Linked DNA regions of Canis lupus familiaris. The protein of the gene in region 1 binds, or shares a complex with, the protein of each later gene. Links are inferred from orthologs where the notes say so. Each region holds a gene or a part of one and is shown in the gene's direction. Other genes may lie near its edges. The genes, in order: DRC3, CCDC153, DRC1, TCTE1, FBXL13, IQCG and DRC7.

What was found.
Region 2: DRC3 (region 1) and CCDC153 share a complex: the UniProt entries of both Homo sapiens proteins name them as parts of the nexin-dynein regulatory complex. The link is inferred for Canis lupus familiaris from reciprocal best matches to the Homo sapiens genes DRC3 and DRC12.
Region 3: DRC3 (region 1) and DRC1 share a complex: the UniProt entries of both Homo sapiens proteins name them as parts of the nexin-dynein regulatory complex. The link is inferred for Canis lupus familiaris from reciprocal best matches to the Homo sapiens genes DRC3 and DRC1.
Region 4: DRC3 (region 1) and TCTE1 share a complex: the UniProt entries of both Homo sapiens proteins name them as parts of the nexin-dynein regulatory complex. The link is inferred for Canis lupus familiaris from reciprocal best matches to the Homo sapiens genes DRC3 and DRC5.
Region 5: DRC3 (region 1) and FBXL13 share a complex: the UniProt entries of both Homo sapiens proteins name them as parts of the nexin-dynein regulatory complex. The link is inferred for Canis lupus familiaris from reciprocal best matches to the Homo sapiens genes DRC3 and FBXL13.
Region 6: DRC3 (region 1) and IQCG share a complex: the UniProt entries of both Homo sapiens proteins name them as parts of the nexin-dynein regulatory complex. The link is inferred for Canis lupus familiaris from reciprocal best matches to the Homo sapiens genes DRC3 and DRC9.
Region 7: DRC3 (region 1) and DRC7 share a complex: the UniProt entries of both Homo sapiens proteins name them as parts of the nexin-dynein regulatory complex. The link is inferred for Canis lupus familiaris from reciprocal best matches to the Homo sapiens genes DRC3 and DRC7.

Annotation. Positions count from the first base shown.
Region 1 is NC_049226.1:41,745,246-41,749,379, reverse strand, and holds the start of DRC3 (dynein regulatory complex subunit 3), read left to right. Parts: upstream 1-1,334; 5' UTR 1,335-1,489; intron 1,490-2,127; exon of another isoform or gene 2,128-2,239; intron 2,240-3,195; exon of another isoform or gene 3,196-3,331; intron 3,332-4,134. Other genes in the region: TOM1L2 (TOM1-like protein 2), read right to left, coding at 774-825. UniProt on the Homo sapiens protein: Component of the nexin-dynein regulatory complex (N-DRC) a key regulator of ciliary/flagellar motility which maintains the alignment and integrity of the distal axoneme and regulates microtubule sliding in motile axonemes.
Region 2 is NC_049226.1:14,710,436-14,712,809, forward strand, and holds the end of CCDC153 (coiled-coil domain-containing protein 153), read left to right. Parts: exon of another isoform or gene 1-1,007; intron 1,008-1,020; coding exon 1,021-1,151; intron 1,152-1,450; coding exon 1,451-1,579; 3' UTR 1,580-1,874; downstream 1,875-2,374. UniProt on the Homo sapiens protein: Component of the nexin-dynein regulatory complex (N-DRC), a key regulator of ciliary/flagellar motility which maintains the alignment and integrity of the distal axoneme and regulates microtubule sliding in motile axonemes.
Region 3 is NC_049238.1:20,544,127-20,548,217, forward strand, and holds the start of DRC1 (dynein regulatory complex protein 1), read left to right. Parts: upstream 1-1,291; 5' UTR 1,292-1,389; coding exon 1,390-1,544; intron 1,545-4,091. UniProt on the Homo sapiens protein: Component of the nexin-dynein regulatory complex (N-DRC) a key regulator of ciliary/flagellar motility which maintains the alignment and integrity of the distal axoneme and regulates microtubule sliding in motile axonemes.
Region 4 is NC_049233.1:12,894,819-12,899,038, reverse strand, and holds the start of TCTE1 (dynein regulatory complex subunit 5), read left to right. Parts: upstream 1-1,420; 5' UTR 1,421-1,533; intron 1,534-1,968; exon of another isoform or gene 1,969-2,082; intron 2,083-2,595; exon of another isoform or gene 2,596-3,309; intron 3,310-4,220. UniProt on the Homo sapiens protein: Component of the nexin-dynein regulatory complex (N-DRC) a key regulator of ciliary/flagellar motility which maintains the alignment and integrity of the distal axoneme and regulates microtubule sliding in motile axonemes.
Region 5 is NC_049239.1:17,435,173-17,438,672, forward strand, and holds part of FBXL13 (dynein regulatory complex subunit 6), read left to right. Parts: intron 1-22; coding exon 23-185; intron 186-3,500. UniProt on the Homo sapiens protein: Substrate-recognition component of the SCF (SKP1-CUL1-F-box protein)-type E3 ubiquitin ligase complex.
Region 6 is NC_049254.1:29,439,350-29,443,523, forward strand, and holds the start of IQCG (dynein regulatory complex protein 9), read left to right. Parts: upstream 1-1,374; 5' UTR 1,375-1,444; intron 1,445-1,547; exon of another isoform or gene 1,548-1,810; 5' UTR 1,811-1,858; intron 1,859-2,040; exon of another isoform or gene 2,041-2,196; intron 2,197-4,174. Other genes in the region: RPL35A (60S ribosomal protein L35a), read right to left, coding at 167-319, 513-523. UniProt on the Homo sapiens protein: Component of the nexin-dynein regulatory complex (N-DRC), a key regulator of ciliary/flagellar motility which maintains the alignment and integrity of the distal axoneme and regulates microtubule sliding in motile axonemes.
Region 7 is NC_049223.1:58,032,853-58,036,352, reverse strand, and holds part of DRC7 (dynein regulatory complex subunit 7), read left to right. Parts: intron 1-123; coding exon 124-196; intron 197-1,376; coding exon 1,377-1,505; intron 1,506-1,693; coding exon 1,694-1,822; intron 1,823-2,765; coding exon 2,766-2,986; intron 2,987-3,500. UniProt on the Homo sapiens protein: Component of the nexin-dynein regulatory complex (N-DRC) a key regulator of ciliary/flagellar motility which maintains the alignment and integrity of the distal axoneme and regulates microtubule sliding in motile axonemes.

The DNA of each region.
Region 1 (4,134 bases):
AACTTTAGAACTTGAAGGGACCTACCACACTTCACCTCCACACACACACAGGTCATTTGACAGACAGGGAAAACATCAAACCGGAAAGAGCAGTGACTTGCACAAGGTCATACAGGGAGAGTCACTGGCGAAGCCCCTACTGGATCCCCGGCTTCCTGATTCCCAGTCCAGGGCTCTTATCGTTAAAACACACAGCCTCCCTTCTCTCCCCGAGGCAGTGCAGGGATGCCGTCCCCCTGCCAAAATAATCACCCTCGGGGAACCCTTCCCCCCATCCCAGTCCCTCCTACAGCCTCGCTGAGCTGCAGCTCTAATTAGCAAGTCTCTGAGCAGGGAGTATTCTCTGGGAGGGTGCCCGGTCTGAGGGCTGCTGGTACTGAGGAGACGGACAAGGATGGAGGGAGAAGGGTGCGGGAGCCCTGGGTCCTGGCGGCAGTGGCTGCGAGACCGTCAGCCTGGACGCGGACGCACTCGGTGGCATCCCCAGCAGGCGAGGAGGCAAGCCGACCCCAGCAGCCCGCACCCCCTCTCTGAGCCGGGAGAGGCTGGGCCCGAATCCGGGAGGGCCGCACGGAGCATCTCCGAGTCCACGCTGGCCTTTGGGGCGCCTCCCGCCAGGGTGACACAGGCGCCGCGAGCAGAGGCCCGACGGCAAGGATGCCCGGGCGGCCCGCGGGGTGGCACCGGTGCCCGGCAGAGGCCCGCGGTCCTCACCAGCCCCGTCAGCCGCCGCCGTCGCCCACCCAGATGGCCCACCCTTCGCGCGGCCTTACCGAGGCACTGCCCCACCGGGGTGCTGAACGGGTTCCCCAGGAGGAACTCCATCTTGAGCGGACAGCACGGCAGCGGCCCGGGCCCCCCTGTCAGCCGCCCGGGTCCCCGCTGTCCCCGGTCGCGCTCCCGACCTGACTGACACTTGCCCCCGCCCCACCCTCCGAACGCCGAACGCCCGGCCCCTGACCCCACCCCTTGTCGCGTCCCCATTGGGCAGCGTCTGTCTAGCCCTTCTCCGGATTGGCCCTTACGCCTCCCTTGCGAAGCCCCGCCTACCCCGCGGCAGACGATTGGGCGGAGCGGCGAGCTAGGTCACAGGAATCTCCATCAGGCGTAGCGGCGCCTCCAAAGGCCCGCCTCCGAACGAGAGTCTGAGTGTTGTGATTCATCTATATATTGGTCAATCTAGCGAATCCTTACATTACTGGCCAGGAGACGAGTCAATCACTCAAGTGGGGGCGGGGGAGAGGCGGGACTACTGATATCCCTGCCCATAGACAGTGCTGATTGGAGAAACGTTTGTTTTTTCTACTGCGGGTTGGTCGTAAGAGTATTTCCCCGCCCAAGAAATACTGTCACGTGACCGTCAACTTTCACCCAGGATGTCTACTCGACGACTTCCCCTTAGCAACCGACTGGCGGAGCTTGGTTCCCTTAGTAACCGGGCGAAGCGTCGGCTTGCGTGGAAGCAGTCGGGTGGCAGGCGCTTGAGACGGTGAGACCTTGGAGCGGAGGCTGCGGGAGGACTAGCAGGGGCGGACTTAGCTCTTTCCTCCGGCCTTTTTCTCTGGGAATCGACCCGGCCCTCCTCACCTGTAGATGAGCACACAGTTCTCTGCCAGCCGCTTCACGGCTGCGCCGGGACCCTGGGCTTTCGGGCTTTGGATGAGAAGGAAATAATAAGGACGCCCCCGGGCCTCCTGGCCTGGTCCCTTTTATCGAAACAGAGGTACCCGGTCCACTGATGAGCTCCTCACGTATTTAACCCTCAGATCCGACCTCTTGACTGTCATAAAATTGTTTCTGTTCTTTGTATTCTTCACCTGGTGCTCCATAAAGTATTTTGTTTTGGGATATAGCTACCCAAGTTTCATGCCTGTCTCTTCTCAGTAGCTCATTGTCCGACTTTGGACAATTTCCTTCCCCTCCCGGGCCTCAGTTTCTCTCTCTGGGAAATGGGGGAACTAGCACCCCTTTCTCCAGTGACTTCCAGAGCCGACATGGAATTAAGTAATGAAATTGTACTTAGTACCCAGCAAGCACTCAGTAAATCGTTGATTTTCTCTAAGTAATCCACTGCCAGCAGGGGCAATGTTTTTCTGATTCAATTGATCACAAGTTCTTGTTTCACAGGGCTGTCCTGGTTTTGTTTCTCGGTGAGGAGTCTGCTCTATTGGCAGTGGTGTAGAGCCCTCCACTGCTTTCCCCAACCGCTACCTCTGGGCTTCCCCAACACTGTTGTCAGGCAAGTCATCAGGAACCCAGGTTGGGTGGTAAATTATTGACAAAAAGTCCCTTAGTGGAGGAGCGGTGGGGCCTTGGCCCTGCCTGGGAATAGCTGTGAGAAACCTCGTGGGTTGTGATAATGAAAATCCACAGTGCCCTGCATACGGTTGTGTCATGGTTAAGAAAATGGGCTCTGGAATCACATCTCCCTGCTTCTGCCATATGCCGTATCGATGTATGAAATTGGTATCTTACTTAACCTTCCTAACCTCATCTGGAAACTGCCAATGATTAGTCCTACATATTAAAATCCTCGAGATCTCTCACAGCCACATCTTACCACTACCCTGCTCATGACTCTTGCTGTTCTCAGTACGACAGCCAGAGTGAGCCTCTTAAAAGTGAAAGCTGTTCACGTCACTGCCCTTATTAATTAAGCCCCAGGAGCTTCCCAGGAATCCGAAGGTGTTAAGATCCTGCAGGCCCCTCCAGCCGTGCTTCACTGCAGCCCAAATGGAACATGGCTCGTGCACTCCACCTCAGGGCCCTGGCTGTGCCCTTCACTCTTCCATCTTTCCTACTCACCCTTCAGATCTCAGCCCTGTCTCCCCTTGCCAGGCCAGGCACCCCTCACATATGATGTCCCAGTTCCCTACATCTACAAACTTGTCATGGTTTGTAATTAAATATTTGTACAATGATCTGATTCACGTCTGCAGAGGGGAGGAGGTCTGTTTTATTCCCGACACGTAGTAGCTATTCATTACACGTGTGTGGGCTGAATAAATGATCTTAAACAAATGTAGGAGGGAGGACTTATCCATTTTTACAGACAGTAAGTCAAGGGCTCAGAAAGGTGAGGTTCGTTGTCAGAGGATGCCCACCCAGGCTCCAAATCCTACCCTCGTGTGCTTAACAAAAAGCATGCCTAACGACTCTTCCACATTGAATAGTGATTGTGGGCTTGACAGAAGCAAGCCTGATCTGTCCCAGGTGCCAGGCCCCGATGAAGTGGGAGTGATGAGAAGTCAGTTACAGTTTTGAAATCGGAATTAAGAAGCATTTCCCAAAGCACCGCACTTTTCTTTGAGAAAGCACAAACACTTCGCAGGTAACATCTGCCAAATACCGCACGTTAAAATTTCCCCAAAGGCAAGTTGGTGTCAACCAACCTTGTCAGGTTATGGGAAATCTTAGAGAAAAAAGATTGTTTTAAAAGAGTGGGGAGATGGGGGGGAGGGGCGGCTGGAAACGTCTTTGGGAGTTGACTCATTCCCTCTAAGAAGTTGGAGCCAATGTTGAGACTGGAGAGGGTGGGAGGATGGAGGGCCCAGGTGAGAAGGGGCGTGGGGGGGAGCGCTTGGGGCCAGGAGCAGGGTCCAAGGAGGCTGTGTCTCCTCAGGGGCAGAAGGAAGAGACTCACAATAGTTAAACGCACAAGGCCATTAGATCACAGACAGCCCAGAAATGGAAGATGCAGGTTTATATAAGCTGCGTCCAAGTGGATGGCGGGCAAGGAGGGCAGTGGCAGCCTCTAAGACCAGGTGGCAGGATTGCCAGGCCACCCCAGTTTGCAGTGGACACCATCAACCCAACACCAGCTGTCCCTCCAGTGGTGTTCAGTGGGATAATTCAGGGACTCCCCAGCATCAGGGAAGAGGCCTGGGTGGGGGACCAGGAGGGCAAAGGTAGATGGTGAAGCCAGTGGGGGGAGGGGGAATGGTGGCAAGAAACAGGAGGAAAGAAGGAAGGGCTGAACCTGGGAGCTTCCAAAAGAGTGCGACTTCCTGCAGGGTCCAGCCCTTCTGGATGCTCTCACTCTTAGGCTGGTAATGATGAGAATGAGGTCAGGGGTGCTCAGGCTTCCCAGGGCTGTGGCTCTGTCCAGCCAGGAACAGCAGCCCAAGGTCAGCC
Region 2 (2,374 bases), about 27 Mb from region 1:
TTAAAGATTTTATTTATTTATTCATGCATGAGAGACACAGAGAGAGGGGGGCAGTCACTATATGGGGAGCCTGATGTGGAACTCAATCCCGGGACTCCAGGATCACACCCTGGGCCAAAGGTAGATGCTCAACTGCTGAGCCACCCAGGCGTCTCAAAACATATTCCCTCTTAGCTGATGTTTACAATGCAAACTAAGAAAAGATATTTGACTTATTTATTTTCATATCCTCAATGCCTTGGGCATGCCAAGCCCTACATAATTACTTGCTAAATCAAAGAATAAACCTTTTAGAGAAGCAAAAATGTAAAGGACAGGAAGTTTTTCCTTTCTCTCTTGGTTACAGGATAAAGTTGAACTATCTTAGCACGACACATAAGATCTTTCACAATTGTGACCTCAGAGTTTCCTTAACCTAAAATAGCCTCAGTTTCTTTCTTTCTTTCTTTCTTTTTACTAGGCGCCACACCCAATATGGGGCTCAAACTCATGACCCTGAGACCAAGAGTCAGCCAGGGGCCCCTAAAATAGCCTCAGCTTAGCTACAGATACCCAAGAGTTGCTTATCTGCCATGCGGACCCTGAATTCCTTTCATAATCCTTGCCTTATTTCAAATTTAAATTCGATCAGCATTTATGGAGCACCTCCTGTACATACTAGGTATTTTTCCCCATACACTCTCACATTTAACTCACAATAAGTCTGTAAGGTTTGTATCAATCTCTCTTTAAAGATGAAGAAACTGAGTCTCAGAGAGAGATGTACCCAAAGTTACACAGGTAGTAAGTGACAACCAGACTTTGGACGCACATTTCTCATCCCAAGCCTACTGCTCTCTCTGCTGTACCTCAATGGTATATGTCAGATCTTTATACGAACTATGGGAAAATTGATGATCCTGGGGGGGGGAGTCTGGAATGATCCCATTCAAGTTCTGCTTTTGAGGTGTCTTTGGAGACTCTGTTCACAAGTAGAATGTCACTACCCAGTCCCCTTCCTCCTCCCGCCCTGCCCTGCAGAGACGTGCCAGAGGGAAGCTGAGGCTGCGCAGCAAGAGGCTGAACGGGCCCTCGGAGAGCGGGACCAGACTCTGGCTCAGCTTCGGGCCCATGTAGTGGACATGGAGGCCAAGTACGAGGAAATCTTACATGTAAGCACCACCACCTCTGGAAGCCCTACCACCCCAGTAGCTAGGACTCCCCCATTCCCCTGAACCCCAACTAGTTCATACTATCATTGTCATCAATGGGAGACCAGGGGGGAGGAGAAGCATCTCCACAGAGAACCCTGCTCTGCCCCGAGGGCAGACAGCCAAGGCACGCAACCACACTTACTTAGTAAGAGTAAGAACCTGAAGAAGATGCTAGGAGGAAAGCTCGCAGACCAGCCCAGGGAAACCCTTGCTCTACCCTCTCTCCCTTCCTGGAGCCTGAAGCTTGGTGTCCACAGGGCAACCTGGACCAACTCTTAGCCAAGCTGAGAGCAGTCAGGCCTCAGTGGGATGGGGCTGTGCTGAGACTTCACGCCAAGTACAAGGAGCAGCTCCACCAATTTGGACTCAACCCCCTGGATCTCTAAAGCTGTAAGCTTCGGGGCAGCCCGGGTGGCTCAGCGGTTTAGTGCCGCCTTCAGCCCAGGGCCTGATCCTGGAAACCCGGGATCAAGTCCCATGTCAGGCTCCCTGCATGGAGCCTGCTTCTCCCTCTGCCTGTGTCTCCGCCTCTCTCTGTCTCTCTCTCTCCCTGTGTCTCTCATGAATAAATAAATAAAACATTAAAAAAATAAAATAATAAAATAAAATAAAGCTGTAAGCTTCTAGTCTCTGGGCCTCTGAGAGGCTCCAGCAATAAAGCTGTCTTGATGTAGAACTCCACAGAACTGTGGTCTGTGCCTTTTTGACAGATACAAATATCTCTTTGAGGGCATGTTGGTTCTGGCGGACCCATTACTCTGAAGATTGAATGAGAGGATAGAAATTTGACATTTGACAAACTCTCAACTCCTCTCTTAGAGAAACTGGGCCCCATGCCTTGAATCTTGGGCCCTTTGGGTCCTTTCAAATCACCATCCCCTACTCCCACTACCCACACCCCTCCCCGGCACCAACACAGGTAGCCAGATTTGTGGGGGCAAGGCCATTTCTTTAATAGACCAGCAGTGACCAGGCACCAGCCCCCACAATCCTAAGGTGCTGACAGAGAGAAGGTGTAACTGGTCTCCAAACTCTTGCAATATATGGGGGGAGTCCAGGAGTCATGCCTAAGGCAAGTTCCAGATGGCTTCAATCCTAGCCAATCCCATAGCCCACCTATAAAGGGAACACTGTGTTGCTCTTCTATTTTACAACATTCCCAATACTACTTTACTTCTGGT
Region 3 (4,091 bases), on another chromosome or scaffold:
CAATGATGAAGCAGCAGAAAGGATTCAATCTCATTTATAGTTGTACCAAAACCAATAAGACACCTAGGAATAAGCCTAACCGAAGATGTAAAAGATCTGTACTCTGAAAACTTTAAAACACTGATGAAAGAAATAGAAGATGAAACAAAGAAATGGAAAGACATTACATGCTCATGGGTTGAAAGAACAAATAATTAAATGTCTGTATTACCCACAGCAATCTACACATTTATTGCTATCCCTTTCAAAATACCAACAGCATTTTTCCAGAACTAGAACAATCCTAAAATTTGTATGGAACTACAAAAGACCCCAAATAGCCAAAGCCACCTTGCAAAGGAAAAGCAAAACTGGAGGCATCACAATTCCAGACTTACAAGTTATAATTAAAAGCTGATCAAAACAGTATGGTACTGGCACAAAAACAGACACATAGGTCAGTGGAACAGGATAGAAAATCCAGAAATGAACTCACACAACTATATGGTCAATCTTCAACAAAGCGGGAAAGAATATCAATGAGAAAAAAGTCTTTTCAAACGATGTTGGGGAACATCTCTCTAAATATGAGATCTGAAACCATAAAGCTCCTAGAAGAGAACACAGGCAGTAACTTCTTTGGCCTTACTTTGTGCTCATTTTTTGACCATATGTACTAGATATATTTCAAATAGAACTTGGATCACATTCTACACATTTGTGTTACATCCTTTCTTCCTCATTTCATACATCTTTAGGTCTTTGTAGGTCAGACCCATTCTTAGTAGCTACATTGTTATCCATCCCGTGAAAGCTTTATCAATCCCATTTTTTTAAAAAAGATTTTATTTATTCATGAGAGACACAGAAGAGAGGCAGAAACACAGGCAGAGGGAGAAGCAGGCTCTCTGCGAGGAACCTGATGTGGGGTTGGATCCCAGGACCGCGGGATCACGATCTGAGCCAAAGGCATGCTCAACCACGGAGCCACCCAGGCGTTCCTATCAGTTCCCTATTGATGGATTTCAGGGTCACACTAGTGTTTTAACATTATAAATAACTACAGCGAGCATACATATACATCTGTGTACACTTCTTTCAGCAAACACTAGTTGAGCACTTACTACATATTAGGCATTATGCTCGGCGCTATTTGTACAGTGCTGAACGAAACTGATGTAATTTTCACCCCACTAAGGTAGAGCCTAAGTCCCGTTCTCTCTCCGGGAGAAGAATACAGAACCCAGGGGGGCGTGCAGCCTCAGGTGGGCGTGGCCTGGGAGCTGTTCGCGCGCGCTCCAGCTGCGGGTCAGGTGCCTGCTTTTCCCTGGCGACGACTTGTTGCTAGCAACGGGGCCGTGGTCCGGCGGTGGTCCAGGCGCCGCGGGCCTGGGGCGGGAGGCACCTGCCATGAATCCGCCGGGATCTCTGGGGGTTCTGGAGGAGAAGGAGGAGGAAGACTTGTCCACCCCGATTCTCGGGCCGTCCATATACTCTGACAACCCTCAGGAGCGGATCCAGGCCCGGCGCCTCCGCATCGCGGCGCGACTGGAAGCCCGGAGGCGGTGAGCGGGGGTCCGGGCGGTCGGCAGCGGAGGCGGGGACCAGGCGGGCGCCTTCCCGGGGCGGGCGGGGCCCACGTGTGAGCGCAAAGATAGGCGGTGAGCTAGGAAAAACTTCTTCCGGAAGGTTCAACCAAAGTATGGGATATGAACACATTCAATACACTTGTGGAGTCAAAGACGGAAATAATAGTCTCTGCAGCAGGAAGTTTTTAAAAATTTATTGAAAGCCTGCTGTGCCATGCACTGCGAGCAATGGACTGCAGACACAGGCCATCCGTGACCTCCTCTCAGAGGTCTTTCTTTCCTCCTTCCCATCCCCACCTGCCTGCCTTCCACAAGCATTTCTGGAGTGGACCTCAGCTGTCACTTCTGCTGGTCTCAGTAGCTTATCTGGTTGTATGACACAAACCCTCATTCCTGAAGGGTCTGTGCCTGATAATCATACCCTTCTCAGGACAGGGTTGTTGCACCTGTCTACTCATAGGCACAGTGGGCTGTCACAAGAGGATTCTAAGAGGCACCTGCATGATCTTCTGAATTCCTGAACACCCTCACTGTGTAAGAGCACTTGTACCCTGTCCTGCTAGCCAGGGTCACCTATCCTACCAAGATGGTGACTTCTTGTTTGCTGGCCATTAGATCACAGAGTGGTATGGCTGTGTTCCAATAAAACTTCACTTTAAGGGATCCCTGGGTGGCACAGTGGTTTAGCGCCTGCCTTTGGCCCAGGGTGTGATCTTGGAGACCCGAGATCGAATCCCACGTCGGGCTCCCGGTGCATGGAGCCTGCTTCTCCCTCTGCCTATGTCTCTGAGCCTCTCTCTCTCTGTGTGTGACTATCATAAGTAAATTAAAAAAAAAAAAAACTTCACTTAAAGACGTTGAAATTTGAATGTCATATAATGTTCATGTGTCACAAAATTTTCTTCAGATTTTGATCTTCTTTTCTGAATTCATTTTTTAAGAGAAATTTTAGATTCACAGCGAAATTGAGTGGAAAGTACAGAGATTTCCCATATACCACCTGCCCCCATGCATACACAGCCTGTCCCACTATCAACATCCTCCAGAATGGTACATTTGTTACAAATGATGAAACTCGGGCAGCCTGGGTGGCTCAGCAGTTTGGCACTGACTTCGACCCGGGGCATGATCCTGGAGACCCGGGATTGAGTCTCCCGTCGGGCTCCCTGCATGGAGCCTGCTTCTCCCTCTGCCTGTGTCTCTGCCTCTCTCCCTCTGTCTCCCATGAATAAATAAATAAAATCTTAAAAAAAAAACAAAACAAAACAAATGATGAAACTCCATTGACACATCATCACCCTAAGTTCATAGTTTACATTATGATTCACTCTTGGTGTTCTATGGATTTTGACAAATATATAGTGATATGTGTCCACCATTATAGTATCATATGGAATAGTTTCATTGCCTTAAAAATCCTTTGTGCTCTTCCTATTGATCTGTTCCTTTTTTTTTTTTAATCATTAAAAAGTGTAAAAATCATTCTTTTCTTATGAGCCCTACAAAAACAGATGGGTCATATCTAGCTCTCAGGTCAATCTTGATGTAGTGGATCAACGTGATGTTCTCTGGGGTATCCAAATGGTCCTGATTTATTCAGTCTATGTTTTGACAGAGATCAGGAGAATCAACATGACGCTGTGAGTGTGAGAATTATATGTGTATATATTATTGTCTGTTCCATGTAAATGTGAACTTCTGATTCTTTTTCCTGATTTAGGTAGAAAATAATACATTTGACCCAATCAGCAGCCACCTTGTATGTACATAAGACCACTCTACACTGCTCCAGCAAAGATACCACATTTACATGGCAACAGCAATGAGGCCTACTACTTGGTTGAGCTTGCAGTATTGATAATCATATTCTCAGATGCAACCAGTTTTTGCAGGGACCAGACCCGTGAACTAAATGGAAACATGATGGGGGGGGGGGGGGACCACCACTCCTGTATCCTTGAGATCCTTAAGGGTGATACTAATTTCCACCATCCCCACTCCCTAGCCCCCACTTTGTGATTGTTTTTATGTATTCAGGTACAGTTTTAAAGATGTCCACTTGGCCTTCCCTCCCATGATAACTCTTACCCACTCACCAACAACTTAATGTGGGAATTTCTCAAATTTCTAAGTATGTTAAGATCACTCTGATTGCTGTCTGAGGGATTGGTTTGCAGAAGCCAGAAGTATAATTGAAGAGGACAGTTAGGAAGCAGTTGCATTGGTTCTGTGAGGGATGAAGTTGGTCTGGTGGGTTTGGAGAGAAAGCAGATGTAGTCAAGAAATGCTTTACAGCTTAAACTGACTGGATTTACTGATTTTAGATATGCTAGTCAAAGACAGGGAAAAAGCAAGAATGGCTTGAACAGCTGAGTAGATGGTAGTGCCTTGCATTGAAATGATAAAGATGGTGATGGGGGAAGTGAGTCAGGAGGATTTGGAAATCAAGAGTTTGGCTTTGGACATATTCAGTGAAATTGGATTTTGGAAGACTTTAAAACCAAGATGTCCATTAGGCATTTG
Region 4 (4,220 bases), on another chromosome or scaffold:
GGGTGACTTCGTTGTTTCCTGGGAGGTGGCACTGAGTGGAGGGTATCTGAGGGAACAGTGCCCCAGACTGAGGGCACAGCCAGTGCAGGGGCCCTCTGGGGGAGGTGAGCCGGTGCAGTGAGTGGTAAGTGGCAGGTGATGGGGTCTGGAGAGCACAGGGGCCAGAGCCACCCAACTCTTTAAGACAAAGTGCAGGGCACGGGCCCCAAGCCTGAGCTGAAGCTGAGAAGTGGCAGCTCAGAGTGGGAGGAAGCCGAGAGCCAAAGGAACCCTCCTTCCCTAACAGGATGGATGCACTCAGGACCAAGCCAGACTCGGGAGCTCCACCTCTGTTCCCAGCTCTCTGTTGCTAGAGGAGGGAAAGGATCTCAGGAGATCCATCTCCAAGTTAAAGGCTCCCTGGTGACCAAGTTCCGGGGCCGTTTAGTTAAAATTATAAGTGTAAAGCACGGCTTCCCACATGATTTCTCATTCTAATTGCAACAGTTAAAGGGTTTGCGAGGGACCAGTCCCCACCGGAATGGGATGCCGGGGATTCCTTCTCGCTCAGCCCTGTGGGCTTGCAAAGCTGTACCTCCGGATCTCGGCCACTGCCACAGTGGCCACCTCTCAGTGACGCTCACTGGAAGCCCAGCTCTTTACTTTGGACACAGGGTGAGGAGTTGCGGTGACGTTTTACGATGAGTTATCCGAGCTTCTAAGATGTTAACTTACCCATGGCAACAGACTAGTAACTGGGAGAGCTGAAGGTAAAGCTAAACTGCCTCCATGTGAAACGTCCTACCATCCTGGTCACCTCTCCCCTCCTGAAGGACAGTTCTTATTAGCCAACCCCCCAGGTTGGTCCTTCCTGCCCGTCAGGAGCACCACATCCTGCCGCCCAGAGCTAAGGGGGACGGGGGGGGGGGGGGGGGGGTGACATAACGTTTAGTGCTGTGTGAAGGAGCGCTGTGGAGACCTGGAAACTTCCTGCCTGGTGCCTGACATCAGCCTTGTTCACATCCTGGAGAAAGGTGGAAGGTACCACACTGCAAGGATGCTGCAGCCCACAGCTCTCCTGCAAGGCTCGGGGCAACAGTAGGCCCCAGAGGAGATCCGGTAACCCCTGCAGGTGCCCTTCCACCTCCTCACCTTCCAGAAGAAACTGCGGATGCTTTTCCTTTGTCCATTCGTCACCGCGCACCCCGGTTCCACACAGAAGGTACCAAGAAGGAACAGCACTCCAGTCCGGAGCCCTGCCCCAGGCCCTACTCCTCCCCCTCCCCCAGAAAAGCCCATCTATTCCCAAGCGCGCTCCCCAGAACCTCGGAGCACGGCCCCCTTTCCCCCCACCCCGCCCCGCCCCTCCCCTCCCGGTTCCCAGGACCCACCCAGCGGCTCGCCGCGGAGGCCCGAGCGCACGCGGATGTAGGCGCGCACATGCGCACCCGCCCTCGGACCCGCCCCCTGGCGACGCGGGGCGTCCCTAACGACCGGCGCGGCTGCGCGGTGGGCCTGCAGGAAGGGGAGCGTCCGGCCTCGAGAGTGGGTGAGGTGAGCCCGGGAAGACAGCTCAAGCCCGGGCCTCCCTTATGGGGCTGAACTCCCCCTGCCCCCGCTCCCGCCTGGCTGAGATTGGCTTGGCTCTGAGCCCCGTCTGTCCCCACAGGAGACTCCCCACCCCACCCATTTGAGGCGGGACCCTTGCTTCTCCGCTAAGGTCACTGCATATTGGCCCAGAGGTTTAAGGTCTGCCAGTAAAGGGGTGCGGGGTTGGGGGGGGGGACACCACGAGAAGGAGGAAGGAGAGTGTGGGGCATCGGGTAGGTCGTGGAGGAGAGCAGTCCTGAGCCCCGGAGGAGCCGCAGGCTTCTCAGAAAGACGGACTCCCATTCCCAGCTCCTGCAGGCTGCAGTCCCTCCTACAGGTCCAGAAGCTTCAGTACCTCCCTTCCTCCCTCCCTCCCACAGCACGGCTGGTTTCCCTTGGTTACTAAGGAGCCGCAAGGGCCTCCTCACCCCTGGCAAGTTGGGGGAGGGACTCGCTGGCCTTTGGAGCTGAGCTTCCCTGCAGGAGTGTCTGAGCCCAAGGCAGGAGTAAGGGGTGAGGAATGAATACTCTGGAGCCCTTTTTAAGACAACAGACCCAAGTGGTCAGGAGTTGGGAGAAGGGCCAAGCCCAGGGGTGTGATAAGTGTGCCATCTCACTGGGGCCAATCACCAAGCATGCTGGGCCCAGGCTCCATCACAGAACTTTGCTGTCCTTCTTTTGTGATTTCACAAACTAAGAATTCCCAAGTGGGAATTTGGGAGGCATATGGCCGGAGGTAGGGTCTGATGGAGGCATGAAAGAGATCAGGAAAGTAAGACAAAAGCCCAGGGCCCCTGAGGACAGATGCCCAGGGAGGGGTCTCCTCTGGGATCCTAAAGTGAAGGAGAAGCTGGCTGAGAAGTCAGAGGAAGCACAGAGGGAGAAGTGGGTAGAGGATATAACCCATCTAGCCGAGCCAGCCCAGAAGGTAGTGTCCAAGGGGCACAGAGATGCTTCGGCTCCTCAGTTAAGAGGAAGGCAGGTAAAAAAAAAAAAAAAAAAGAGGAAGGCAGGTGAGAATGAGGACCAGGGATGTGATGAGCAGGAAGGGGAGAGAGTTCTCCCCCAGCCTCTTCAACTTTCCCCTTCAGGCAGTGGGGAGAACCGTCTGGCTACAGTGGTTAGATTTAACTGGAGACTTGAGAAGAATAGAGAAGGTTTGAGACGTCCGAGAGGAGGGAATGTGCTAGAGATTCAGGCACTGAGTCCCAGGTCTATGAGCAATATCAAGGGCCCAATGTGAGCCATGGAGCAGGAAAGTGCAGCTCTACAGAATGTTCTTGGGTCCCTAGAGGCCTCATGCTGAAGGATTCAGGCGACGGTCCAGTTCTGTGGAAGGGCCTCATGTCTGGCAGTGACTTAGGGGGTGAGGGAGTCTGGGCTGTTTAGGCCAGCATCTAAAGGGTTACCCCAGGCTTCACACTGGTGACAGGATGAGAAGCGCCCATGAGCTGCAGAAAATAGGAGGCCCGCTGGAAAAGTGCCATGAACAACTGAATCTGGACAGTTTAGGAAGCAATCCCAACAGCTTATTATTTCTATGCTTTTGTGCATGGAAGTGACAGAGAGCTTTGAATGGGTATCAGCTGAAACTTTAGGTCTCCCACTTACTAGCTATGTGATGCTTAGCAAGCTACTTATGCTTTCTAAGCTTGTTTCCCCATTTGTGCAATGGAGATAATAGTGTCATAATAGCAGGAATAGTCCTCAATTGAAGGAAGATTGAATGAACATACCTAGGTAAGTCATGTCACATCTTCATCACAAATCTAACACATATTTTGAAGGGTGGCTCTGGGCCCAGCATGACATGAATCCTCTTACACACATCAGCTCCTTTAAAATCTTCTGGATAATCTTAGGAAGTAGACACTACTAATTTCTACCCCCATTTTACAGATAAAGAAATGGAGGCTTAGTAGGGTGAAATGACTTCCCCAAGGCCTCACAGATGCTCCGGGGTAGAGTGGAGATTGGCCTTAATGCAGTATAATTCCTAAGTCCTTACCAGCTGCCTCCTGCTGTGCAAATGCTTTGAGAGCCTAAAACTCCATAAATCATAGCTGTGTATAGGCAAGATATGGTTCCCAGGACACTTGTCCAGCAGATGCAAGCCATCAAAAACAAGGCCAAGCTGGCCGAACTAGGGCATGTTGTCACTTAATATTACCTGTGCTTGGGCACATAGAGAATAGACTTTTACACCCAACCCTTTGAGTTATGGCCTGAATGTGATTTTAGGACCCTGGGCCCTGGTCCTAAGGACACAGAACAGAGAGCTGGTTGGGAGAGGATTGACCTTTCTACAGGGATTGTGGTCCTGTGTGGGGTTAGGCTGGATGATGGCTGGAGACACAGCATTGTAAAGCCCAACAGGCCTGTGAAACCTGTGCCAGGAAATGAAAGGTCACAGGACATGTCCCCACCTTCCCCATCCTAGAGTAAGCTGTGCATTTCAATAGGGGCACCAGGTGGTGGCACAAGAAGTGATCACTCCCCATGGCCCTGACTTTCTCTCTGGAATATGAGAAAAGAGAAGGATCAGAGTGTTCAACACACTTTCAGTCTTCATACTCTGGGATTCTCTGTCTACCCCATAGGTTCCCTAGGGAGAAAAGCTCCAAAGAGGAAAGTGGGTGCCATTTCTGGAG
Region 5 (3,500 bases), on another chromosome or scaffold:
CTGTTTGTTTGTTTTAAAACAGGAAATAAAAGGATTACTGATGCATGCTTCAAATATATACACAAGAATTATCCAAACATCAATCACATTTACATGGTAGACTGCAAGAGAATAACAGATGGTAGCCTTATGTCGCTTTCACCTTTGAAGCAACTAACTGTGTTGAATTTGGCAAATTGTATAAGGTAATGAGTCACTCAGTTATATATTCAAGAAATATTAATTATCTAGAATGTGCAAGACCCTCTCCTCAAGATGCTCACTGGTCAGTAAACATGAAAATCTGTGGCAACACCAAGAAGGGGCACCCATGTGGAATCATGGGCCCTTAAAAGATTAAATGAATTCCCAGGAACACTTAAGGGCTACTTTTCCTAGTGAGGGTTCTCATGGCTAGTTCAGTTAACAGGCCTTTTCCCAAATGGGCTTTGTTAGCTGCTTAGGAGGAATCAATCTTACTGAAGGGTTTCCTCTTGAGTACTGGTTAGATTTTTCCTCGTGTGGATTCCCTAACAGATGAACAGATGACAAATTCTTAATAAAATAAAAGTTGAATTTCAGCCTCATATTTCACTCAAGTTTCTACAGATTAACTACTTTAAAAATAAATGGAGGTGGGGATCCCTGGGTGGCTCAGTGGTTTGGTGCCTGCTTTCGGCCCAGAGCATGGTCCTGGAGACCCAGGATCGAGTCCCACATCGGGCTCCCTGCATGGAGCCTGCTTCTCCCTCTGCCTGTGTCTCTGCCTCTCTCGCTCTCTGTGTCTCTCATGAATAAATAAATAAAATCTTAAAAAAAAATAAATGGAGGTTTTCTACTTCCATAGTTGACAAAACATTTCAAACGACCCTTTGCCACAATTTATATCCTTGATGAAACATACTTTAAATACATTGCTGAACCCACAAAGAGTAAGAGAAAGCTCTAATATCTAATATCCTGATTCTGCACCAGCCTCTCAACAAACATACTCTGAGATGAATAATGAATAGCAAACAAACATAAAAGGTATTGCTGCTCTGAGCATAGATGTTTATGTCACCATTGCCTAGGCTCCTGCAAGAAGTTAATTCAATGCTTCCCCGGAGGAGAGCATTTTCTATTTAGGCCTCTAGGATTCCTCAGATTAAGAATAAAATATAGCTGCTCACAATTAAAAATTGTTATGTATGAAGACATGAGACACCATGAAAAAGAGTCACCAGAAACAGCAAAATAAATTTGACCTTCAAATAATTCAGATATTGGAGTTATCAGGCATAGGATATTAAGCAAATGTGTATGAAATATCTGAAGAAATTAATGAAATCAGAAACATTAGCAGGCAACAAAATATGATAAAATATTTTTTTTAGAAAAAAACAACTTTAAAAAATACAAAATATAAGAGTTATTGAAATAAACTCAATGGATTTCCAGATAGCAGATTAGAACTCACTGAGGAGAAAAGTACAGAGATGGAAGATAATTCCTTTCATGATAGCAGAGTAAAAAAAAAAAAAAAAAAAAAAAAGATAAAAAATAAAATATGAAAGAGTATATCGTAGGATAAAAAGACAGAGAAAGTTTAGTATAAAAGTTTCAGATTAGATTTTAAAAAACTCATCTATAAGAGATAAGCTTAAACAGTAACTTTGAGAGTCAGAGAATATACATTTCCCTCAACACACATCAGTCCTTTTTAAAATGGACTATGCATGAAGTTTTAAAACAAGTTTCAACAACTTTTAAATTATAGGTATCAACAAACTCTATTTCTCTTACTACAATGCTATTAAATTAAAAACCAGTAATGAAAAGGTAAATTAAAAACATATACATGTTTTAAAAGTAAAAATTCCAGGGTATCAGAATCACTGGAGGAGCTGAATAAAACTACAAACACCTAAACCCTACCCTAGAGCTACTGAATTTGAATATTTAGGAATGGAATCCCAGATTCTGTATTTTTTTTTTAAAGGATAGTCTTTTTTTAAAAAAAAGATTTATTTATTTATTTATTTATTTATTTATTTATTTATTTATTTATGATAGACATAGAGAGAGAGAGAGAGAGAGAGGCAGAGACACAGGTAGAGGGAGAAGCAGGCTCCATGCCGGGAGCCCAACGCGGGACTCCATCCTGGAACTCCAGGATCACGCCCTGGGCCAAAGGTAGGCGCCAAACCGCTGAACCACCCAGGGATCCCCTGTATTTTTTTTTTTTTTAAACAACACAGATGCTTTTGATGAACAGCCAGATTTGGGACTAACTACATTAACCAATTAACTGGGAACATTAACTGAATAATCCTTTTCTATTGACTTTTGATGCCTCCTGGATTATAATATAAAATTATATATACATCTTTGCAAATTTTAAAAATTATTTATTTATTTATTTATTTATTTATTTATTTATTTATTTATTTAAGAGAGCATGAACAGGGGACAGGAGCAAGGGAGAGGGAGAAATAAGACCCACTGGGCAGGGAGTCCAACTTGGGTCTTGATCCCAGGACCCCAGGGTCATGATGCTTAACCAACTGAGCCACTCAGGCACCCCTGCAATTTATTTTGTTGTATTGTCATTTTATTTTAAATGTGTTTCTCATAGACTACTTATAATTTAGAGTTATTTGTTAAACCAATTTGACAATCTCATCTTTTAATAGGAGATATTTTCAACTTATTTATATTATTATAAATTATTATAAAACTAATATATTAGGACTTCTTTGTGTTCTATGTCTCTACTATTTGTACTTTTTACCTTTTGTTTTTATTTACTTTTTCTTTTTTAATGTATGGAGTATGTTTTGCTATTTTATTTTTTTATTTTTTATTTTTTTAAAGATTTTATTTTATTTACTCATGAGAGATACAGAGTGAGAGAGAGAGGCAGAGACACAGGCAGAGGGAGAAGCAGGCTCCATGCAGGGAGCCCGACGTGGGACTCGATCCCTCGTCTCCAGGATCACACTCTGGGCTGAAGGCGGCGCTAAACCACTGAGCCACCGGAGCTGCCCTCTTTTGCTATTTTAAAGGCTTTTATATGTCTCTGATTATTGCTTTATTTATTGTTATATCTCTCAAGAATCCTCTTTATTTAAAGACTGAATCCTGGTTCTTCATTTTTTATCTCATTTATTTTTAATTCTTTACCCTTCTGCATTTCAAAGGAACTTTTCAAATATGCCTTCTACATATTCAGTTTTCTAAAAGGGTCAGTTTTGGTTCTGATGACTTAAATTAGGTTATTATACTTATCATTGAATTTTTAGTTTCTTTGCCATCTATTCTTTTTTTCTTTATTAATTTGAGTATAGTTGACACACAGTGTTACATTAGTTTCAGGTGTACAACTTAGTGATTTGACAAATTTATACTTTATGCTGTGCTCACTATCTGTATATAGCTACCATCTGTCCCTTTACACCATTATTACAATATCATTAACTGTATTCCTATGCTGTGCCTTTTATTCTCATGACTTATTCATTCCATAACTGGAAGCCTGT
Region 6 (4,174 bases), on another chromosome or scaffold:
ATAAATAAGTAACATCTTCAAAAAAAAAAAAAAAAAAAAGATTCAAAGTACGAAACACAAAAGTACCAACTGCTTTGCCAACATCTTTTGATTCTTCTCCTTTGAATAGGAAAATGCGACAAATCTCAACTAAAAAATGCAAGAGGCATTAACACTATGAACTTACTTCTTTGCTTTGTAGACATAAGCACATCGCTTGCCGAGATAGAACTCAGTTTCATCTCGAGCATAAACACCTTCGATCTTAAGTAGAGCTGTGTGCTCCCTCTGGTTCCGGAGACCCCGTTTATAGCCGGCAAAAATGGCCTTGGACCAAAGCCTGAGACAAAATACAGAGTGACCATAAGTCGTGCAAAGATCTGGTTTCACTGGAAGAGCTCACCTGTAACGAGCTCTACTCAAAAGTCACCTGCAGCGAACATCTAATCCCCCCTCCCCAAGTTTACAGCAAACGTTTGATTTTTTTTTTTTTACAGATGCAAAAAAAAAAAAAAAAATCATAAAGTCTGTACCTTCCAGACATAGTCGTCGCTTTAGGAGTCCTGGTCCCAGCAGGCCTTAAAACAAAAAGAACCAGTTTAAAATCTTGCAAAAGCACGTTTCCCGCCCAGTCCGCTCTCGGTAGCGCTCGGCATCTGACAGGAAGTCTCTCCGGTGGGAGACACCTCGGGCAGGACGGGCTTCGTAGTCAAGGAAACAGCTCCTGGAGACGCCGAAAGGATGCCCCGAGCGGACTCAGACCACGCCGGGTAGGAAGGGGGGGGGTGGGGGAGGAAAGAAAAGCGAGGAATCGGAGAAGCACACAAAACAGAGGCGGAAGCACTGAATGGGAAAAGCAAGGCTGAGGAAGGGGAGCTCGTAGACATAACCAGGTCTGGAGTGGGAGCGTCTTGACGGAAAAATAAAATAAAATAAAATAAAATAAAATAAGATAAAATAAAATATAAAAAGGGCTCATCCTAAGGGAGCCACTGCCTCAAAACGGGCGAACGGCCTTTATCCCTCCGCTAAGGCCCAAGCAGCAACGGCGATGACGGGAGCGCCGGTTCTCCGGGAGTCCGGGCACCAGCACCATCGGCCCCGCATCTCCGCCATCCTGGCCTCCCCGCCGCTGGAATCCACGGCGCTCGCTCGCTGACACAGCCTCCGAGCCGCACCGGCGCCCCGCCGAAGCACAGGGCTCGTCTCACCGCACTTAATCGGCCCCCAAAGTTCAGGAGCGGCGGCTCTCCTCACCTCCACAGGCTCCAAGATGGCGGAAAGAGAGAGGCGAGGCCCCGCCGCGCGCGTGGCCTTGTGGGATAAACACCTCTCCGCCCCGCCCCCCCCGGTTTAGGCGTCTAACGCAACCGCCCAAAAAAAAAAAAAAAAAGAAAAAAAAGAAAAAGCCTCAGCTGTTGTCTTTGACTGAAAGAAACGTCTACATTCGAGAGCACTCTTACAGGTCTTTCTCTGAGTGCTTTTATCTTTGAGAGTTGTAATATATGTGGTATTTGAAACAGAGGGAGGCAAGAGGATAGCCAGCTAAAGGAGGACGAGGAAAGGTCCCCGGAGCTTCGCGTTGCCATAGAAACAGCAGGGCTTGGTTCCTGCAGCCCGGTGCAGGCTGCCGCCCCGCCTCGGGGACCCCAGACTGGATTCGCTCACGTGGGAGCATCTTTCTCTCTTACTAGGAGTAGGGAGGATGGAGACTCTCGGGTCCTAGCGCGGAAGAGAAAGGGCAGGAGCACGAGGGCAGGAGGAGCTCTTCTCTTTACGCACCCCCCCACCTCACCCCTTTCCTCCTCCTCCTCTCTTTATCTCTTTGCAGAAACGTCCTCCAAGTTCCTAACCTGCAATCCTTCGTTTGGACTCCAGAGTGAGTATTGCCGCCTTTTAAAGAGCAGCTGCACGGGTAGCTGTGGGGCGCCCAAGCACCGCGCCTGCGCGAAGTGGGTCTCTAGCAAATCCTGGCAGGTGACGGGAAGATAGGCTAGTGGGCGTCTGACCGTTGCAGGTTTATTTGGGTTTCCCTCCGGGTTCATTCATTTGTTTCAGCAGTTTATTGAACGACTACTATGTACCGAGCTCTGGTCTTGGCTCGGAGGACCCTGCAGGAAACGAAACCACGGAATTCTCTGCCCTCTTGAGCTTACAGACCTGTCCTAGGAAGGGAAGTGAGACTCTAAGCAAGCACAATATATGGCACATGAGCAGGTAACATGAGAAAAATGTTCTCTATGGAGAAAAAAAGAATGAAGCCAGGATGCCACTGTAAAGAAGGCTTTAAAAATATATATATAATTTTAAAAATGAAGAAAAGAAGGCTTTTACTCTGAGATGAGAAACCAATTTGAGCAGTTCTGTATGGAGGGGAGACTCAATCTGACTTCCATTTTAATAGGGTCATTCTGTTGAGATGGAAGGGAAGCAAGAACAGCGCGGAGATCCATTAGGAGGCTCTTGCAATGATCATGATAAGATCATGGCTTGCAGACAGGGGTGATAAGTACTGGACTTCTGAATATATTTTAAATGTAACGCTGATAGGATTTGCTGATGGGTAAGGAATGGGAGAGAAGAGTAAAGGATGACCCCAAAGCTTTATGAGATATCTATAAATCATATTTAAGGTCCTCTCTTAAATACATCAGGATAGGGGATCCCTGGGTGGCTCAGCAGTTTAGCGCCTGCCTTTGGCCCAGGGCGCAATCCTGGAGTCCCGGGATCGAGTCCCACGTCAGGCTCCCGGCATGGAGCCTGCTTCTCCCTCCTCTTGTGTCTCTGCCTCTCTCTCTATATATATATCTATCATTAATAAATAAATAAATAAATAAATAAATAAATAAATAAATAAATAAATAAATAAATAAATCTTTTAAAAAAATACATCAGGATAGAGTGTAGGTACCTTACGATCCACTCCCTCTATCCAGTTTTCTCTGTCCCAGAAATATACTAAAAATCTCACTATTAAATGTACTAGAAATCCAAATGTTAAGTAGTCCTGAGAGGAATAAAACCTTAAAGGTGAGTTTCGTTCCTTTGTTCATTCATTTGTTCTACAAATACTTCTTGAGCACAGTGCTTGAAACAGGATATAACAGTGAGCATCACTATCACGTTCCTGCTTTCATGACACTTAAAAGCCTAGTGGGGGCAAAACAGTAACATTACAAATTGTGAAGAGAGCTCTGTAGGAAAATAAAAGTGCAGTGATTGACCAGAGGACTCCTGATCCAGCCTGATGAATGAGGGAAAGTGTCACCCGCAGAAATGTCCTTTAAGGCATTTTTCAAATTGCAGGTGTAGGCCCAGTAGTAGATTGTAATTATAATACTTTTTAGGCAAAATATATGATAGAATCAAAAGTATCAGAATATGGCACATGTTTTTTTTCTTTTTTTTGTTTTTTTAATTTTTATTTATTTATGATAGTCACAGAGAGAGAGAGAGAGAGGCAGGGACATAGGCAGAGGGAGAAGCAGGCTCCATGCACCGGGAGCCCGATGTGGGATTCGATCCCAGGTCTCCAGGATCGCGCCCTGGGCCAAAGGCAGGCGCCAAACCGCTGCGCCACCCAGGGATCCCAGAATATGGCACATGTTAAACGTAAATTGGTATATGAAACTTGTTTCAGTTATTTGCCTGTATGCATACTTAAGTATATGTCTGTGTGTGCACAGTGTATATAAAAATCTGTGTATATAGGTCATTGCATCAGTCAGTGTTGCCCTGGATGGAAACAATGATAGAGTTCAGAATTTCATAAAGGATCTGTGTACAAAACTGTAGGCAAGAGTGAAATTCTAAGGGATGACATAGTCTCCAGGGACGTAGGGCAGAAATAGTTACCCAAGCCCCCAAGCAAGAGCAACGTAGAGAATATTGCCTGACTGGTGCCATGGCCTTTGACAGAGAAACTTAGCCCAACCAATGATGATTTGGCAGGGAGGGAACTGGGAGGATAAACACTTGATCTCACTCTCCTACATTTATGGAACCTCCTGTTGATGTGCCCCATATGGGTCAGTCTCTTGGGGTATAAGAAATGGTGAAGATTAGATTTAGAAATGACAGATACCTAGCAAAATGCCACTGATTTAGGCTGGTACCTGATGGACCAGTGGGACTTTACAAGATGAAGAGTGAGGGGAAGAGTGGTCCAAATAGAAGGAATAACGTGTGTAAAGAC
Region 7 (3,500 bases), on another chromosome or scaffold:
TGGGGGAGCTAGCAGCCACTGTGGCTTGGCCCTGGGGGGGGCAAGACAGAGGCTCTGCCTCTAGCTTCCGCTCCAAGGCCCAGCCCTGACCAGAGCCTGCCCCCTCCCCACCTCTCCCAACAGGGCAAGGAGGATGAGGATAAGAGTTTCGACATGCCACCCTCATGGGTGGAGCAGATTGAGATCTCCCCAGAAGGTACATGCACATTTGTGTTCCTTGCCTCCCCAGGACCAGTTAGTGGGGGAGCCAGTGAAGGCTGCCCCAGCCCCTCATTTCCACCTCTCCTGCCTTCTGCTGTGCCCTGATGCACCCTGCTCTGAACAGTGTCTCTGTTCTATCTACTTCCCGCCACATGCACTCAGCTCTGTGGCTGGGGGCCTGACACCAGTCTGGTGTACGGGGGAGGAAGGGAGGGGTGCCAGGTTAACCTGTGCTAGGTGATGGAGTGTGGATAATAAAGGACGGAGGAGAGGGATCCCTGGGTGGCTCAGCGGTTTGGCACCTGCCTTCGGTCCAGGGTGTGATCCTGGAGTCCCGGGATCAAGTCCCACATCAGGTTCCCTGCATGGAGTCTGCTTCTCCCTCTGCCTGTGTCTCTGCCTCTCTCTCTCTCTCTCTCTCTCTCTCTCTCAGTCTGTGTCTCTCATGAATAAATAAATAAAATATTTTTAAAAATAAATAATAAAAAAATAAAGGACGGAGGACCAGGACGTGGTTGTTGCCCTCCCCCACCCCCCTGCCAGGAGGAGGCCAAACAGCATAGTACCCAGATGGCAGAGGGGAGCAGAGGCATCAGGACCAGGGAGGAGCAGCTCCCCAGGGAGGAGTAGGCAGAGAAAGCAGCAGGGAAGGGCCACTTGTGAGCCACGCCAACATCTACTGGCTGTTGAGGTTCCTGTCTGGGAGGCCTAGACCCACACGGAGGGCATAGGGTATTCCAACAGTGGGAAGGGCTAGAGAGGGCATCATGGGAACCAGGGGAGGAGTTCCCAGCCCAGCTGCCCGCTTGGGGACTGGGAGAAGGTGGGCAGGAAGGGCTTCCAAGAGGAGGAGGAGTCTGAGCAGGGTTTTAAGGGATCAGAAGCCAGCCCAGTAAGGGCAGGAGGGGATGGTGATTCCCGCAGAGAGACCTGCACAGGCAGAGGCCCAGCAGCGAGTGAGTGGTGTGGTAGGGCACAGCTCCCGTGGTCAGGCTCAAAGCTGAGAACTCCTCCAGGGCAGGAGCTACCCTGGTGACTACTTCCCTCTGTCTCCCTGGAGTGGGCTTGGGGCCTGGAGGAGTTTAGCACAGTGACCAGATGAGTGGCTGAGTGGGGTTGGCCCTCTAGTGCCCCAATCTGGGGAGGCGGGACCCCAGCCCACTCTGTGTCTGCAGCGTTCGAGACCCGCTGCCCCAGTGGGAAGAAGGTGATCCAGTACAAGAGGGCCAAGCTGGAGAAGTGGGCCCCATATCTCAACAACAATGGCCTCGTGTGCCGCCTCACCACCTACGAGGACTTGGAGTGTAAGGCGGGCAGCCCCGGCCGCGAGGGCAGGAGAGCTGGGTTCCCCAGTGGGCTATGTGACCTTGGGCACGTCCCTGCCAGGCACTTGTTGTGCGTGTGGGCCCCCGCTGACCTGTGTGCCGGGAAGGGTGGGACAGAGGCTGGGGGAGCCAGCCTGGCTGTGGCAAGTACTGATCGTGCCCTGCAGGTACCAAGACTTTGGAGATAAAGGAGTGGTACCAGAACCGGGAGGATATGCTAGAGCTAAAACACATCAACAAGAGCACAGGTCTGAATATCGACTACTTCAAGCCAGGCCATCCCCAGGCTCTGCGTGGTGAGTGGAACCCGCTGTCGGTCCCAGTGGGAGCCCAGGGTATGACAAGCAACATAAGCCCCCACCCCTGCCTCCCTAAGCAAACCAGATGTGCACGAGGCCAGGGGAAGTGCAGAAGATGTGACAAATGTCCCTCCAGGAAAGTCAAAACCAGGGCCACATGCCCATTCTGTGCTTAGGGCTAGGCACATGCTGAAGGCCACCTTTCTAAGGGGTCAGGACACAGAGCAACAAAACTAACAAATGCCCCCACAAGGGCGATGCGGAGGGCAGGGGTGTGGTCATGAGCCCAAGAGGCAGGGAAGTGAGGGAAGGATGTGTCTTGAAAGAATCAACAGCCCTAACCAAGGACACAGAGAAGAAAAGCCTAGTGTCATTATATATCCTTTAAAAATGATCAAACTCACTTGATGGCTGAAATGAAAGAAAAAGGAAGGAAGGAAGGAAGGAAGGAAGGAAGGAAGGAAGGAAGGAAGGAAGGAAGGAAGGAAGGAAGGAAGGAAGGAGCCGTTTTACAAACCTCATGTTGCGAAGATGACAAAATGGTCCTACCGGTGTGTAAGCAAAGCAGCAGAGAGTTGCTCCCTGTCACTGCTCATAGGACAGCAAACTGGCTCAACTTTTCGAGAAAGTAGTTGGGCAAAATAATAATAGCTTTAAAATACATACGCTTTTCGACCAGCTGTGCTACCTCTGAGAATTTGTCCTGAGCAAATACTGGGCAAGAACTAAAGAATGTTCACCCTGGTGTTGTTTCTAATGACAAAAAGGTGAGAAACAACCTGAACACCCAGCAGTGGGGCATTGGTTCCATAAGTCCTGCTCATCCGCGAGCATCCATGGACATGCCTTCTCCCTGGGGCCCGGGCCCGGGTTCTCAAGCCAGGGGCCAGCGCTCCTGGTCTCACCCCGCTGCCTTCCCGGCCCCCGCCTCCCACCACAGCGCACTCGTACGTGTCTATGCAACCCGAGATGGACCGGGTCATGGAGTTCTACGAGACAGCCCGTGTGGACGGCCTGGTAAAGCGGGAGGAGACGCCCAGCTCGATGACGGAGCACTACCGAGGACGGTCTGACTTCCTCTCCTACCGCCACGTGGATTTTGGGCCCAGGGTGAAGAAGTTGGCTCTGAACAGCGCAGAGTCAAACCCGCGGCCAGTGGTGGTGAGCTGTCGTTGGGGCAGGCACAGGGCGCCCGCTCTCTGCGGCAGCGCTGGAGCCACACCTTCAGGAGGGGGCACCTCCTGGTTATAAAGCGGGAGAGATTGTGCCCCCTGCCACTGTGCCATACGTGCACACTAGAACGGTGGCTCTCAGATACTACTGTGCCAGTGTCCATAGGCTTGGTTCTTGGGAGTCTTTTCTAACCTATTTGAGATGTGTGTGTGAGCGAAGGTAGGACCCCTGTATCGCTCACCTCACATTGAATCGGCCCTTTTCCCTCCACATCCCTGCAAATGACCTGGCAGCTGTGGCTAATGGCTGTCTACCCAAGGAGCTCTTCCCAGCAGGAAGGGATGTGTAGTGATAAAGCAGGGCGCCTGGCGAGGTGGTGAGCTCCCTATCTCTGGAGGTGAGCAAATAGAACCCTGTGCGGGAAGAGAAGAAATGCCGCAGCATCAGGGCTGAGGTGGCCCGGCTGAGGACCCACGGGGCCCTGGGGAGCCATCGGCGGCAG